2 linked regions of the Neodiprion lecontei genome follow. The protein of the gene in region 1 interacts with the protein of each later gene in a biochemical or structural test. Links are inferred from orthologs where the notes say so. Each region holds a gene or a part of one and is shown on either strand. Other genes may lie near its edges. The genes, in order: protein slit and roundabout homolog 2.

Region 1 (6,639 bases):
GAGATTAAGAGAGAGAGAGAGAAAGAGAGAGAGAGAGAGGGTAAAAATACGAACAATAAAATCAGGGTGGGCTGCCCATTGTTGGCCGAAATATGGTTCGTGTCATTCGGCTAATTGAATACAGGTTTTTTTTTTTTTTTCGGACAAGTGAGACGGCGTTGTCCCGTCACGGTTTTCTATTTTATTTCACGTACACATATAAGTTCGGCCACGCTGTTTTAGGAACGCGACATGCGCTGACAGACGCGACACGTTGTCACGCTTTTTTCCCCCCGCTTGTTTTTACACTTCTTTTCCGAGAGCGTGCTACCCCGGAATCCGCAGGATATCTTTTAAAACCAAACAGCTGTTTTTTACCCAACTGTTTTCCCTACTTCTCTCGTCTTGGTTGCCCGTTTCCTTCACACAGCCCAGCCTCGTGCCCCAAACGAAACAAATTTGTCCTCGTACAAATTTTTTCCACACCCTTTTTTTTTTTCACTACCGAAGTGAACGATTGTTATCGTTACTCGTGTACATGTACGTATACATGTAAACTTACAGTCGACGCGACGCCTATAGGCAGGTGAAAGATAAACAAACGTCGAGTGTAACCCGAATTTCCTTGAATTTGGATGGAAATGTATAGATGAAACATGACCCCGGTAAATCAACGTTTTCCACGGACTTTGATTCGACAAAGTTTAGCTCGCAAACTCGATTTCCCTAACCGAGACGCCTCGTGTGTGCTTCGTTAAACGTGCGGTGTAACAATTCAGTTGTGCAACTACGGTATCCTGCAACAGGGTTTCAGATCCGTAACTCTGACGCGTAGTTCAAATTTAAATCCGGCACTAATTACAGCTGACACATGGCCAGGTAACGTATTGCCTTCGCAGTAAACACACTCATGCATAGAAATAACAACCTCCGTCCGCATAACTTGCACAATGATTCTAGGAAGTCCATTGTATAAACTGTTGGCATTACCTTTATCAATGCTCACACATAAGCGCGTTTAACGCAGAGCCGATACACGCAGCTTCGTGATTTCACGTTGTAAACACACACACACACACACACACACACGCGCACATCTGTATACAAACAAATAATTGCGGGCGGAGAAGGCAGATAAGGCTTAGTTTGATACAATTTCTGAATCATACCGCGACGGTCGGCATCGCGTTGATTTCATCGACATCGTCGGAACTTTGCCAAACAATATGAATAGGCGGTGTTTCCCTGTATCTGATCAGTGTTCGTGTAAAAATGTACATATACAACGCACGTTTATTTTCACAATGAAAGACCGTTCACCCCTTCGCTTCGCTCCGGATCGGTTCGCACAGCCTGCAACCCCAACTAGGGTATTACTATAAGGGTAGTAGGATCGCCTCCGGTGAAAATGTTTAAATCAGACTGTCCGTTGACGGGCAAAGGGCACCCTCCTCTGCTACGTGCAATTATAACTTTCATCACATTCAGTCAGATTGACTGGATAGGAGCGAAAAAATAGCGCTCTTGTGCTGTAGGCAAAGCGCGATGCTGAACGGGGCTGTGGAAAGGAGAAAAGGGGGAGGACGTCTCCATTGTCAGAAAACGAGATCTGGGAGATGTTTTTTACCCTCTTTACTTTTTCCTCTTTTTTGCTCCGCGGCAAGTAAGAAGATCGCGGAACGACTTTTCCGGCTCTCGCGTATACCGGGGGTTTAAAATTAAACGCTTTTCTCGCCTCTCGCGAAATCGCTTTGCTCAATCTTATATATACACATATATATCTATATATACATGAAACCATGGCTTTGCAGGTTATATATCGTTTACCGTATATCCGTATCAACCGAAGCTCAGTTAATTATCTACCAAGAGCTTGAATCTATCATGTTTGGATTTTACACACACCGAAGACGTGATCCCGAGCTTTGCGGGATAAAGAGATATATCGATAATCGCGGAACCCGGCTTTTCGTGAATGTTGGCAAACTGTTTCAAGCCTGTCATTGAATAAAGTAAAGTCTGTCCCATGCGTTTAACACTGTAGACTTCGCCTGCAGACGAGAAATAAAACATCATTGGGCGAGAAGAACAAAATTAATTCTTTCTTTAAAAACTATCTTACTGGCTTGTCATTACATTACTACGCAGTTGCGTATTTTTAAATTGAAAATATCAAAGGTTCGAAAGTTTCATTTCACTTTTGGAGCGTAATACTACGATTTCTGATTTCTTGTCAGAATAACAATCTTGAAAAAATTCGACAAGATCTATTTTGTTCTCAAATAAAAATTTCCTGCGTGCAATGATTTTCATCCAAAAAATTAATCGAACATTGCAAAAGTAATTGAAAATATTCGTTTTACATCTATTGTGAATCGGGAATACTCAAACTTTCACCGAATTTCTGTTCCAAACAATCTAACGATAAGCTGTCCGTTCGAAAATCAGGATTCTAAACAGTCTAGGAAAATTGTACATGAAACATCTCCACCGATTGACCAAACGTCGTTCCAATTAATTTTCAAAATTCGAAGAAAAACATTTTTCTCGTACAAAAACCCTCGCAATGAATTTCGGAGCGACAAAACGTCTTTTCAAATGTCACGCAGACGTCCTGTTTTCGCGTGAAATTTTTCTCGCAACGACAAATTCGCAAGAGGTTTAAATTCTGCTATTACAGATAGTGAAAAAGGGGGTGGACCAATAACGAGAGCCGCAAGTCCTGCAGCAGCAACCCTACGCGAGGGGTGCAGAGTGTACAGTGGCTCCGCCGGGACGAACGTCAGCGAGCGGAAGTCGGGAAGAGAGCCGCGCAATCTCTACTTCTGATTGGTCGCGGTAGTTGTTCGTGCCACGAGCCGTTCAGCAGTTGAGCGCGAGTCTCCGAAGAGTTCGGTCGCACTTCGTTTGGACCATCTCAGAATCACCGTGGTCGACAAAAGTTGCCCGAGCAGCAGTGACGATCCGATAATTTCGAATACATTCGAATAATAGTCGAGATTTTTCGCGGAGCGATCGGATCGGATCATCGTAGTGCGGTTGCGTAGCGAATTTCGTAATCGGGAGTAAATGGTAAATCGATTTTACAGCCGAGTGTTTTTTACGCGATAATTTACACGGCTTGATATTACTACGCGTATGTAACATGTGGTTTATGTTGTGATTGTGTTTTCGGTAAAAGTGCGCGTGCGGAGTTTTTATTTCTTTCTTTGACTCTTCGACGTAATTTCGTTTGTTCGGATATTTCGTTTACCGTTCGTCGTAGTTGTCAGGACTTATCTGGGTAAATACTTGCCGCACGTTTATGCGATCGTTTTGTTCGTCGCCGATATTTGTCGACCGCTGCACTGCAAGATCGATCGGTAAGTTTGAACCTAAAGATATTTTACGAGCGTATTTTCTATACAGTGTCAAGTCCTTTGGAACTTTCATTTCTTGTACCACTCAGCGGGTATTCAAATCACCCGCGCTCCTTATTCTGGAACCGGGTTTTCCGATGGCACTCTGCGAGCCCGCGAGTTTCTCTAGAGTTTTCGAAAAACTGTTGCGAAGGTATGTTCAATGGAAGCGCGCATCCGAGCCTTCGACAAATTTACTATTCAAATATCTCTCTCGTATTAAATCACTGCCTACTCGCACAGCGAGAAAAGTGTAAGATCTCCGAAACTCCCGATTGAAAGGAGGATCGGCGGCTTCGAAACTCGTCGAAAACTCGGTTTCGCAACGTCTGTGCTAACGATGACGATTACGATATCGAAATAGGCGGGATGAATCCTTTTCTTTTTTCTTTCTACTTCGTACGGATCGTAAATTCGTTGAAACTGAATCGCTAATTGCATCTGCAGGTTTCGTGACTCTGTAAGGATATTCGAATGTAAAGGGGCGGCAGTATCGCGGGTTGCTTGCCTTCCGAGTCGCTTTCCTTCCCACCTCCTTGGTTTTAATCTATGCAAATTTGGCGATAAGAATGCAAAACCTTAGGGCAAAAGCGTCGCGGTCGAATCGCCCTCGCACTAAAATATTTGAATAATACGGTGTCCCGAGTTATTGGTATTAATCGCTTATTGTTGAGATTGATAAGATCGGCTCGCGTGCGTTTCTCGAAGTAACAATTAGGCCCGTGACGTTTTTAAAATGGCGGTTGGAGAGAAGGAGAGAGGATCGCGATTTTCGCGGCCGCGTTACGCAATAACTCGCGTCCGCAGGTTCGATCCGCGCCATTCATTCTCCTCCATTCATCGCCGCACGCATTATCATTCCGCGTTTTTTACTCCGCGCGAGGTACGACTTAGCCGGCGGAGAAGTAAGAAGCAAAAGGAGCAAGTCGAGAATGGAAGGAGAATGAACGGCGAGGAGGAATGTAAGCGAGGCTGAGGGAACGGGAACGAGAGGAACAAGAACTCCGGGATCGTGGCAGCGAGACTCCGGTTTACGAGTCGTGATGCAGCCGCACGGCTCTTCGATTCCGAATGGCTCTTATTATGCGCGATCCTTTTCTTTCAATACGGCCTCTCGCGGTTCGTTTTTTCGCGATTTTAGCGCTTATTCGCGGGTCGCGTGTTTCCGCAATTATAACGCAAACACCGCATCGCACCGAAGTTAGTAACGTTGTCGTAACGATTCGTGCTGAGGAGAAACCGTCGATATTTCGGGATTTTGGAACTGTCTGAAACGCAGTAAGCCGTAATAAAGTGGAACAAGTTCATACTTCGAAATCTTAGTTCTTTAAACATCATTGTAAAATTAAGGAAATAGCGACTTTTTCCACAATGTTTCGTTGCGATAATGTTACCAACTTCAACCACGTAATTACCGCACCCTGCGAAACGTATAATCTGCGGGTCCAGAGAGACCTGAAGCAAAAGCTACATGCGGAGAGATTGGCGAAGGGTGAGAGAGACTCGCGAATTCTTCTTCGTCGCGGAACCTGCTCGACCGCTCCGACTGCACGTGCACGCTTTTTCCGCGTGCTTCAAAAAGAAAATGTTACGGCTTATCGAGAAAATTCATTCCCGATTATACCTGCAATCGCGATCAATATTGTGCCCGGAAATTTTATGCACGGAAAATAATAATCGATACTTGAAAAATCGTGGACAAGTCAGGCTACTCCGATGTCGAATTTTTGGAAAAAATTTAAGGTTTCATCACAGTTTCGGTAAAATACTCAACGCATAACCGAGTATGCTCAACTATCAGTTACAAGTGAAAGTTTGAAGCATATCGAGCAGATTACTAAGCACTTTGAAATAAATAAACTGTAATTTCTTATGGTTAATTACATTTTGTCGTTCATTATTTCAACGTCAACAGACTCGAGAGGTGTATATTCGAATAAAACCAATTTCGGATGAGCAAACCCCGGCATAGTCAGGGAATTTGACGATCCAAAATTAGTGACAACCGCGTCAGTGTTATCCTCCCGATTCTCCTCTGGCAGCCATAATAATTATTCCTCGAGTGATAGCGAGCTTGAGAGGCACGCTGCATAAGTGCGCGACTACCGCGGCATGTACAGGGGCTTTTAGGCAGCCGTGTGGAAGCGCGATTACTGATTAGAGTTTAGGAGCAGGTTTATTCTTGAGAGTAAATAAGTTAACGAGTATGTTTATACTCGCGTCAAGTTCTCCCAAGTACGCGCAATGCGCTTGCCTACCTCTACTTTGGACTTTGGAGGGTCAGGCAGCGTTCGTTGTAAGTGTTGCGTTTCGAATCGAGATGCCGATCCCCGGGCCCCAATTCAACCCGGACGGCACTCTCACGTCAAGTTTTCTTCTTCCTCTCGACTCGGAGTCCAATTGGTCGTTTGGACGAAAGTTACGTGCGCGTATCGCTCTCTCTATCTCTCTTTCTCTCTCTCGGACCCGTCGCGTCGCAATGTGCGCCCAAAATTACCCGCAACAAGATTTATCTCATTTAAATGAGGATGTGTACTATCCATAGGGCTAGATCCGACGTTGTCGCCTCTTTAAACTTTAGAGAGAGTGAGAGAGAGAGTGAAAGAGAACCACGTAACAGCGACGTGAACTGCGCTTGAAAGCTACGAGTGCAATGAAGCGTTTATGCAGCTCGTTGCACGATGCTCTCACAATCAGCTGTGTTGGATATCCAACGCTTACATAACCTAGCCGTTTATTGTTTACTTGGTAAAATAACCCCACCGACATTTTTACGACTCGAAATTACCCTGGACCGATTAACGTTTCTTACGACAAGATATTGCTGTCGTATATTATATGTATATACATATGTGTGTGTATATTTGTACGATAATTTAGCTGATGGATGTTGGTGAATTGGGATGATAAATTCTTTTAATGTAAAATTGCCGTATCTTCAGGCATTGCGAAAAATTTTTGACTCGTTTAACGTTTATACTGTGACCGCCGAAAGTCCTAGTTTTATTAAGTGCGGTATTTGAAACGGGGAAACACGTCGATTTGGCCCCTTTTTCAAACACGAGAGTTCATGTTCCCGCACCCTCGGTGTTTTATGATGAAATTCCTAATATTCATGCGATACCGTATTATACCGGCAGGAAGAGGAGAATTTTTTAGCCAGTTATGAAGGGAAGGGTTCGAGTCAATTTTGTGTCCCCCTTTCTTTCCAGTCTCGTCGTTGCAAAAGAAAAAAGAAAAAATAAATGGAGTAACAGAGTTG
Region 2 (6,759 bases), on another chromosome or scaffold:
GTTTGTTTCCCTGTGTAAATATACACGTATGTATATATCACTCGGCAGCTGTGCTTCGCCGATATCGCGTAGAAAGCAATAAATAACAAGTATAGTCGTTTCAGAGTGCCGTAACGTAATCGATTTACAATTTTACAACACGACGATCGTTGCCTGCCAGACTTATTCCTGTTTTTTGCCGCGTTGCGCGTTATCTAACTAAAGTACTATTATTGGTACCTACGATGTACCTAGACAACGTTCACGGACGGTATGTATCCACAAGAATAGAAATATCACTAACAATGAGCTATGTTCATAGAATTTCGTAGACTAAACGCGTATATAAACGCATGCTTACACACGGCTAGAAACTGGTCCCGCAGAATTGAACACCGAAATTCAGGACGTTAAGGGCTGACTACTGGATAATAATGGCTAAATTATTGTAGAGCATAGTTGCTGGCGTTGGCCCTTATGCCCCAACTGCTACGTACATATAATTCGAGTTACGAGTCGTGTCGAGTGGCTCTGCTGCAACGCCGCGAATTCTGCACACATTATTATTGTATACAGTAATATGCGTACGCGTGTGTAATACAGACGTAGGGACACTCGGTGAACGCGTAAATTACGATGCGATTATGACGGTATACGCAGTTACAAGAAGATCGGAGAGTCGGGGAAAACTATAAGCACGTACGTAAATTAAGAGATAGCTTAAATTATGTAGTCTGTATCAATTACCAGACGGTCCCGGGCAGCAGCTTCTTCTTATTCTTATAATTCATTGGTCAGGGATTTCAAACGACGATGAAAATACTCGAGTAGGGAGATAGCATTCATACGGAATATTATATCTTGTGTATAAACGAGGCTGTCTTCAGACGATAACCACTCCGTATAGGATATACATGTGTAACGAATGCCCGAGGGAATATAATAATCCATATCGGCGTTTCGTGTGTAACGCAGCCGGTTATAATAATAATAAAGTTCGTTGAACGTTTGAAAGTTCATGGACACAAAATATGTTCCTTACTCGAGAAAACGATTACCAAAAAAATGGAGAGGCGGATAAGAATTATTTGGATTTTTAGGTTAATTCAATTTTTTCACGCCTCTTTTTTCTCACCTCTTTTTCTTTCAATATATTAACGAGAGGTGTTCCGGGACCGCGACGAGATCGAATAACGGACGCGTATGGTGGTTATACGTGAGTTGTCAATTTGCCTTGCACGTTTTCGATTAGTAGCCAGATTACGGGTCTCGAACAAGTGATCGATCAAAGTATCGATCGATCCTTTCACCCTCAAGGTACAGAAATCGTCTCATCTTTCTTACCTCGGTATGCCTGTATTTGGTACACGGTGTAAAAAATTAACACTCGATGGTGACGGACGAACAACAAAAATCACGATTTAGCCGCGTTAACGTTCAACGCCCAGAAATAATCGTAGACGACACTTTTATTGCAATCTATTCGTGCTCTTAATTTCTCGCAAGCCAATCGCTGATACAAGAATAAAGGAGAAAAAAAAGAAAACGGATAAATCCTCAGTTTTCGACCGATTGTTACAAGAAAATCATGTGCAATTTGAGTATAGATATATATATAAATATATGTATTTGAAAAACTTTTCACCCGAGGCTGACATTGTGATAATAAATTTTCCTCGTCTGGAACTTGAAATCTTGTGAAAAAATTGGTTAGTTTTAGGATTTCGAAAATATGAAGTTCAAAAGTCTTGAGAGTTTCAGAAATAGAGAAAAAAGGCGATTTCAAATTAAAAAAAGTATCGTAAAGCTCGTGACTGCACAATTACCAACAATGCGCGGGGGGGAAATTTTCATGTATCGAAACTTGTAATATAAATCGAGAGTAGGATGAAGAGAGATGCGATGAGAGGGAGACTGATTGTGATACGGTATTACAGAGGATCGGAAGAACTACGTGCCTTCGAGTTAGTCTCCCGTCGCGTCGTTCGCTATTATGTGGATTATGATTCATTATTCACAACTTCGTGTCCCCCTGCAATTCACGTACGAAACAAGAAGAAGACTGAGAAAAAGTCAAAGAGGATATGGAAGAAATTGAAGAAGATTGTTCAGAACAGAGTCCTATGGGTTATATGATCACAAAAAACAACGAAGTAAGTGAATTTTATGGTCCCTTTTATTTATTGAAATGTATAGTAATATCCTGACGACTTGAAGTTAATGACGTGAACCTGATGAAACATTGAAACTAAAATGATAGTTTTTCAATTTCGGAATAACTATATGAAATAGTTGAATGTTTAAAGTACGAATAATTTTGGATCGTCACACGGTTTAATGAGTTTCAGACGGTTAATGCAATCCTAAAATTACACAATAACGATTTTTCTTGAACAACGTTCAAGTTAGTGCGAGACTGAAGTTACCGTATTAAAACATTGAAACAAAAATGATTATTTTGCACCTTTAGGATAACTGTGGAATTTAAATTTACAAAATCTGAGTTTGTTCATGCTTTATTAACGGTTTCTTAAATTTCAGGTAATCCTTTAAAATCGCAAAACAATGAGTTTTTCGAAAGATGCTTCATTACAATAACGTTACAAACTTCAGCCTGAGAAGTTGGTAACGTAATTGTAACAAAAAAATTGGAGAACAATTCGTTATTTCGCAATTACTGAATTGAATTTGGGATTAAATTTACAAGGGACGCATATGTTTACGGTTTACGAAATTCGAGGCAATCTGAATGTTGCAAAATGACTGTCTTTCATAAAATTGTACGTATACCGTTACATTAAAAGTTTGTCGAAAGAAAAGAGTGTCCGCCGGATACGAGCAGCGAACCAAAAGGGAGAATGGTTCATTCGGTACAAACGATTCGATACAGTTCTAAATCGTTTCGTTCATTCAGGCCGCCGATTCTTGGAACTTCGTACCCGAGAGTTGGCGAGACAAAAAGTTTCCTCGAATTTGGGTATCGGGACGTGTTTTTACTCGACTCGCGTATCGATGGTCAAACTCCAATTCCCTGAATACGTGTGGTTTTTTTTCATTTCTTTTCATTTTTTAGGACTTCTGTAGTAGAAATTCTCACCTTTAGTCGCGACCGTCAAAAGGGTCAGAAGAATCAGACACCTGCTGTCCTCGGGCCGCATTTTCGACGATATCCAAAGCACCACTTTATTTATAATAATTGCGTAGAAACGGGGAAATGATAATCAGTAAAACAAAGGGTTTTGATTTACTCCTAAACGCACTACATTCCGATCCTTTTTTCATTTATTAATTTTTCTTTTTTTTTTTCTTTTCCCCCTACCACTTGATATAAATCACTTTAAATCTCTTTTCGTATGATACACACTTTTCAACTACGGTCTCGCACTTTTTTTCACCAACCACTGAATTCTGTTTTCCTCGCGTTCGCGATTTCTTTCTTTCTTGTTACTTTTTTTTTACTCTTCTCTTTTTTTCTTAATCGAGGTATCGGAAAGAAAGCGAAACGACGAAAGTAATAATACACAGACACATAATAAAATCACCGTTGAAACAAGCGAGTTATTTATTCGCCCTCTGTACCTCAAGATTCATTTTCATTCGCATTTCGAAAACAGTTCAAGTTCCGGTTCTTGATCCTCTTCGATGCGGGTGAAAAAGGGAGAGGGTGAAAAAAATGGAAACACCGATATCGACGTCTACTGAAATCGAAGGATTAAAGGAGAGCGCTAGTGCACGAAAGAATAACCAAAGAATCCGCTCCTTCCACCCACAATTAGGTACAAGCAACCTGCGCTCCACGCGACAAACTTCACAGGGGATAAAAACACCGTCACGCGGTTTGAGAAACGAATTTCACACAGTCAAGTTCCTCATGTTCGAAGGCGTGCGGAGTCTCTCGGAGAATCTTGGATCGATCGGGGATCGGGGAAAAAAGCGAAGCGGTTAAATTCAAATATCCGCAAAACCGCGGTGAGTGTTGGGATGGGGAAAAAAAAAAAAAAAATTCACCGCAACCGTTTCTTCTTCCCCATAGCGAGGAGGCTCGAGTCTCGATAATCGTTTCGACCGGTCGTCGAATCGCCGTTGTCACCACGCCGCGCACAACAACAAACAACGCTTGTCAAAAAGCTGTCGCCTCGAGCGATCTTTAACTCGCAACGAGCCAATGCTTGCAGCGCGACGGCCGAGTCGCGACTGCAGATGCTGAGATTCTTGCGCCTGGCCACGCGCCGCTTCGGCGATACTCGGCTACCTTCGGCTCCCACGAGAGCTCGTCGCGACGCCGTCCGCCTACCCGCGTCGCGACGCCTCGACTCGACGAGCCGCACACGCGCCCGTGCCACCCGCGGGGAGAGGCGCGGGATTACATCGCGGGTCCCGAGACGGAACCGAGTGGGTGGGTTATGCCTTGACAATAGAGGGAGAGAGAGAGAGAGAGAATCGGGACGAACCGCGCCAGCATCACAATGGATCCTTGTTTCATATTCCATTTGACTTCATCTTTTTCACCGGGCATCCCTTTCGCCTGCGCATGCCTTTTGCTTCCTTCGGTCGCGCGGTTTTTCACGATTCGTGTCCGATTTTTGTTGTTGTTTTTTTTTTTTTCTTTTATCATTCTATTTCTTACGTTCGGCTTTTTATTTCAGCGGTTTTATTTCAGCAATGAAGGGGTCAAATAAAACAATACGGAAATTTTCAGAGAAATTGTGATAAGGAATTAGGAGTGAAATTTTTTATAGCCAAAGCCAGCACAAACAGCAGCAGTTCTTAGATTAACAATCCCAATGTGTCTTCTCTTATTTCCTTCTGTAATATACATGAAAGTGAAGAGATGGGATTTTTTATGGAATTGCTTACGCTTGTATAAAAAATACGATAAAAAAACGAATGAGTTACTCCTAAGATTCCAACGATGCATACATATATTATTCGAGCAGGGGATGAAAAAGTTTGAATTTCAGGATTGAACGTGTCAAAAACTATCACCAAGCTATTCAGATTATCTTTTTGACGCTAGACATTATTACAGGTAGGTATAGATACTGAAATACCATTAATTGAAAATCATTAAGCCCACATCAATGATTAATCGCAAGTCTAGAGGGGCCGACTTTTCAGATCTGAGAGCGGGTTTTTTTTTTTTTTTTTTTTTTACACACAAACACACACACGCCATATTTTCTTCTTCTTCTTCTTTTTTTTTTATATCTGTGAGTTCTATCTACGGTCTGAAACGCGTTTAGGATCGGAAATTTATTACAGTTATATGTACGCGGCGGGTAGGAACGAGAGAGATTTTCTTAATGATCGAATTGGGTCCTGCGCGGTGCATTAGAGAGCATCGGGCCGAAACTCGTATATGTGATTATGTTAATCTATAGTAAATCAATTATTTAGTAATATATCATCGTTTACTTACGCGGCAAAGGCCGCGGCCGAAACATCTGCCAGGTATTAGCTGATGGCGACTGACCCGAATAGCGGCGGCGGTATCGGGAGAATCTATTGGCTCGGCAACACGCGTGATCCAGAAATCCAGGCTCTTCCACTGCGCCCGTATTCAGTTTGGTACAGTAAAAGGCCGAAGGGTGTATTGAATAATTCGCGCTGATGCAGGGGAGGAGGCATATTATCAAACGGGGTGAACTTCCCTACGGAAACAACGCGCGAATCGATACCTCGATGATTAATCGGCGGATATTATACTGCAGGTACCATGTATATATATATATATTATATACATACACACCGTGTACGTATACCTGAGTTGCCCTGCTTCCGGACAAAATATTTCCCGTTATATTTAACACGCATTGTCTGTGTAGTTCGAGCGCATAGTCGCGTATAAGCGATTATTAATAGTTTAGCTAAAGGGGTGAATAAATTTTTTGCCGACCGCCCACACGCCTATTATAATACTTTCCCGATGCCGCGAACCATCGATCCAAATTTTTCAAGCAATCGGAAACATCGTCTATCGCCGAACGTCGATCAGGGGAATATTTTCATTGGTTCGATTCGAATCGGGGGGTTTCAAAGATAAACTGTACAAGTATCTTGAAGTCTGTCAATTTCACTGAGAATAAACGAATTTTCCCTGTTGTGGAAAAATGATCGAAAACCCCAAATTGAAATGAAAAAAGTTCGGATTTTTTTTTATAGATTCAGAATAATATTCCTGTAATATTTTCGAGATTACTTCCGTCGGTAGGTAAAAAAATTGTTGCTGCAATTAGAGGATTTGAGGAAAGTTCAATTATGCAGCAATGATACTTTGAATTGGATAAGTGGTATGGTTTTTGCGTGAAAAAAAAAATGCAACAATGCGATTGTTTTAAAATTATTAATGATCTTACGTTTTCAGATGAAAGTCGTGGTTTGAAAATTTTTATCCAGCGTTGCGAAATTGTTCTTCTGTTTCGATTCAAATTTACTATATCTTCGATCACAGCTTACTTTAACTTCTATGTAGCATATTTCAACCTTGAATTTATGGTTCTTTCCGAAAAAATTTAGTATCGTTCGAAATATCGTACAGATTGTTATTTTTGGCAATTACAGAGTATCGATTATGCCGACAAAAATTGGCGAACCTCAATTTTCTAAAAAGAAGATGAAAAGAAAAAGAAAAATGACCAACCGATATCAGTATTGAATCGAGATCTCAGCCGCAGAATGGATAAATCGAAGCTTGCAGATGAGGGAGCGTTATAATTTTACGGAGGTCGAAGAAGCCGGCGGATCTGTGGGGTGCGGGTCACGTTTCTCTTTTCTTTTCAT

Evidence for each region.
Region 2: the proteins of protein slit (region 1) and roundabout homolog 2 form a complex in vitro, tested with the Drosophila melanogaster proteins (2 studies listed by BioGRID). The link is inferred for Neodiprion lecontei from reciprocal best matches to the Drosophila melanogaster genes sli and robo1.

Annotation. Positions count from the first base shown.
Region 1 is NC_060265.1:21,800,775-21,807,413, reverse strand, and holds the start of protein slit, read left to right. Parts: upstream 1-2,849; 5' UTR 2,850-3,341; intron 3,342-6,639.
Region 2 is NC_060263.1:27,564,664-27,571,422, forward strand, and holds the start of roundabout homolog 2, read right to left. Parts: upstream 4,158-6,759; 5' UTR 3,138-4,157; coding exon 3,077-3,137; intron 1-3,076.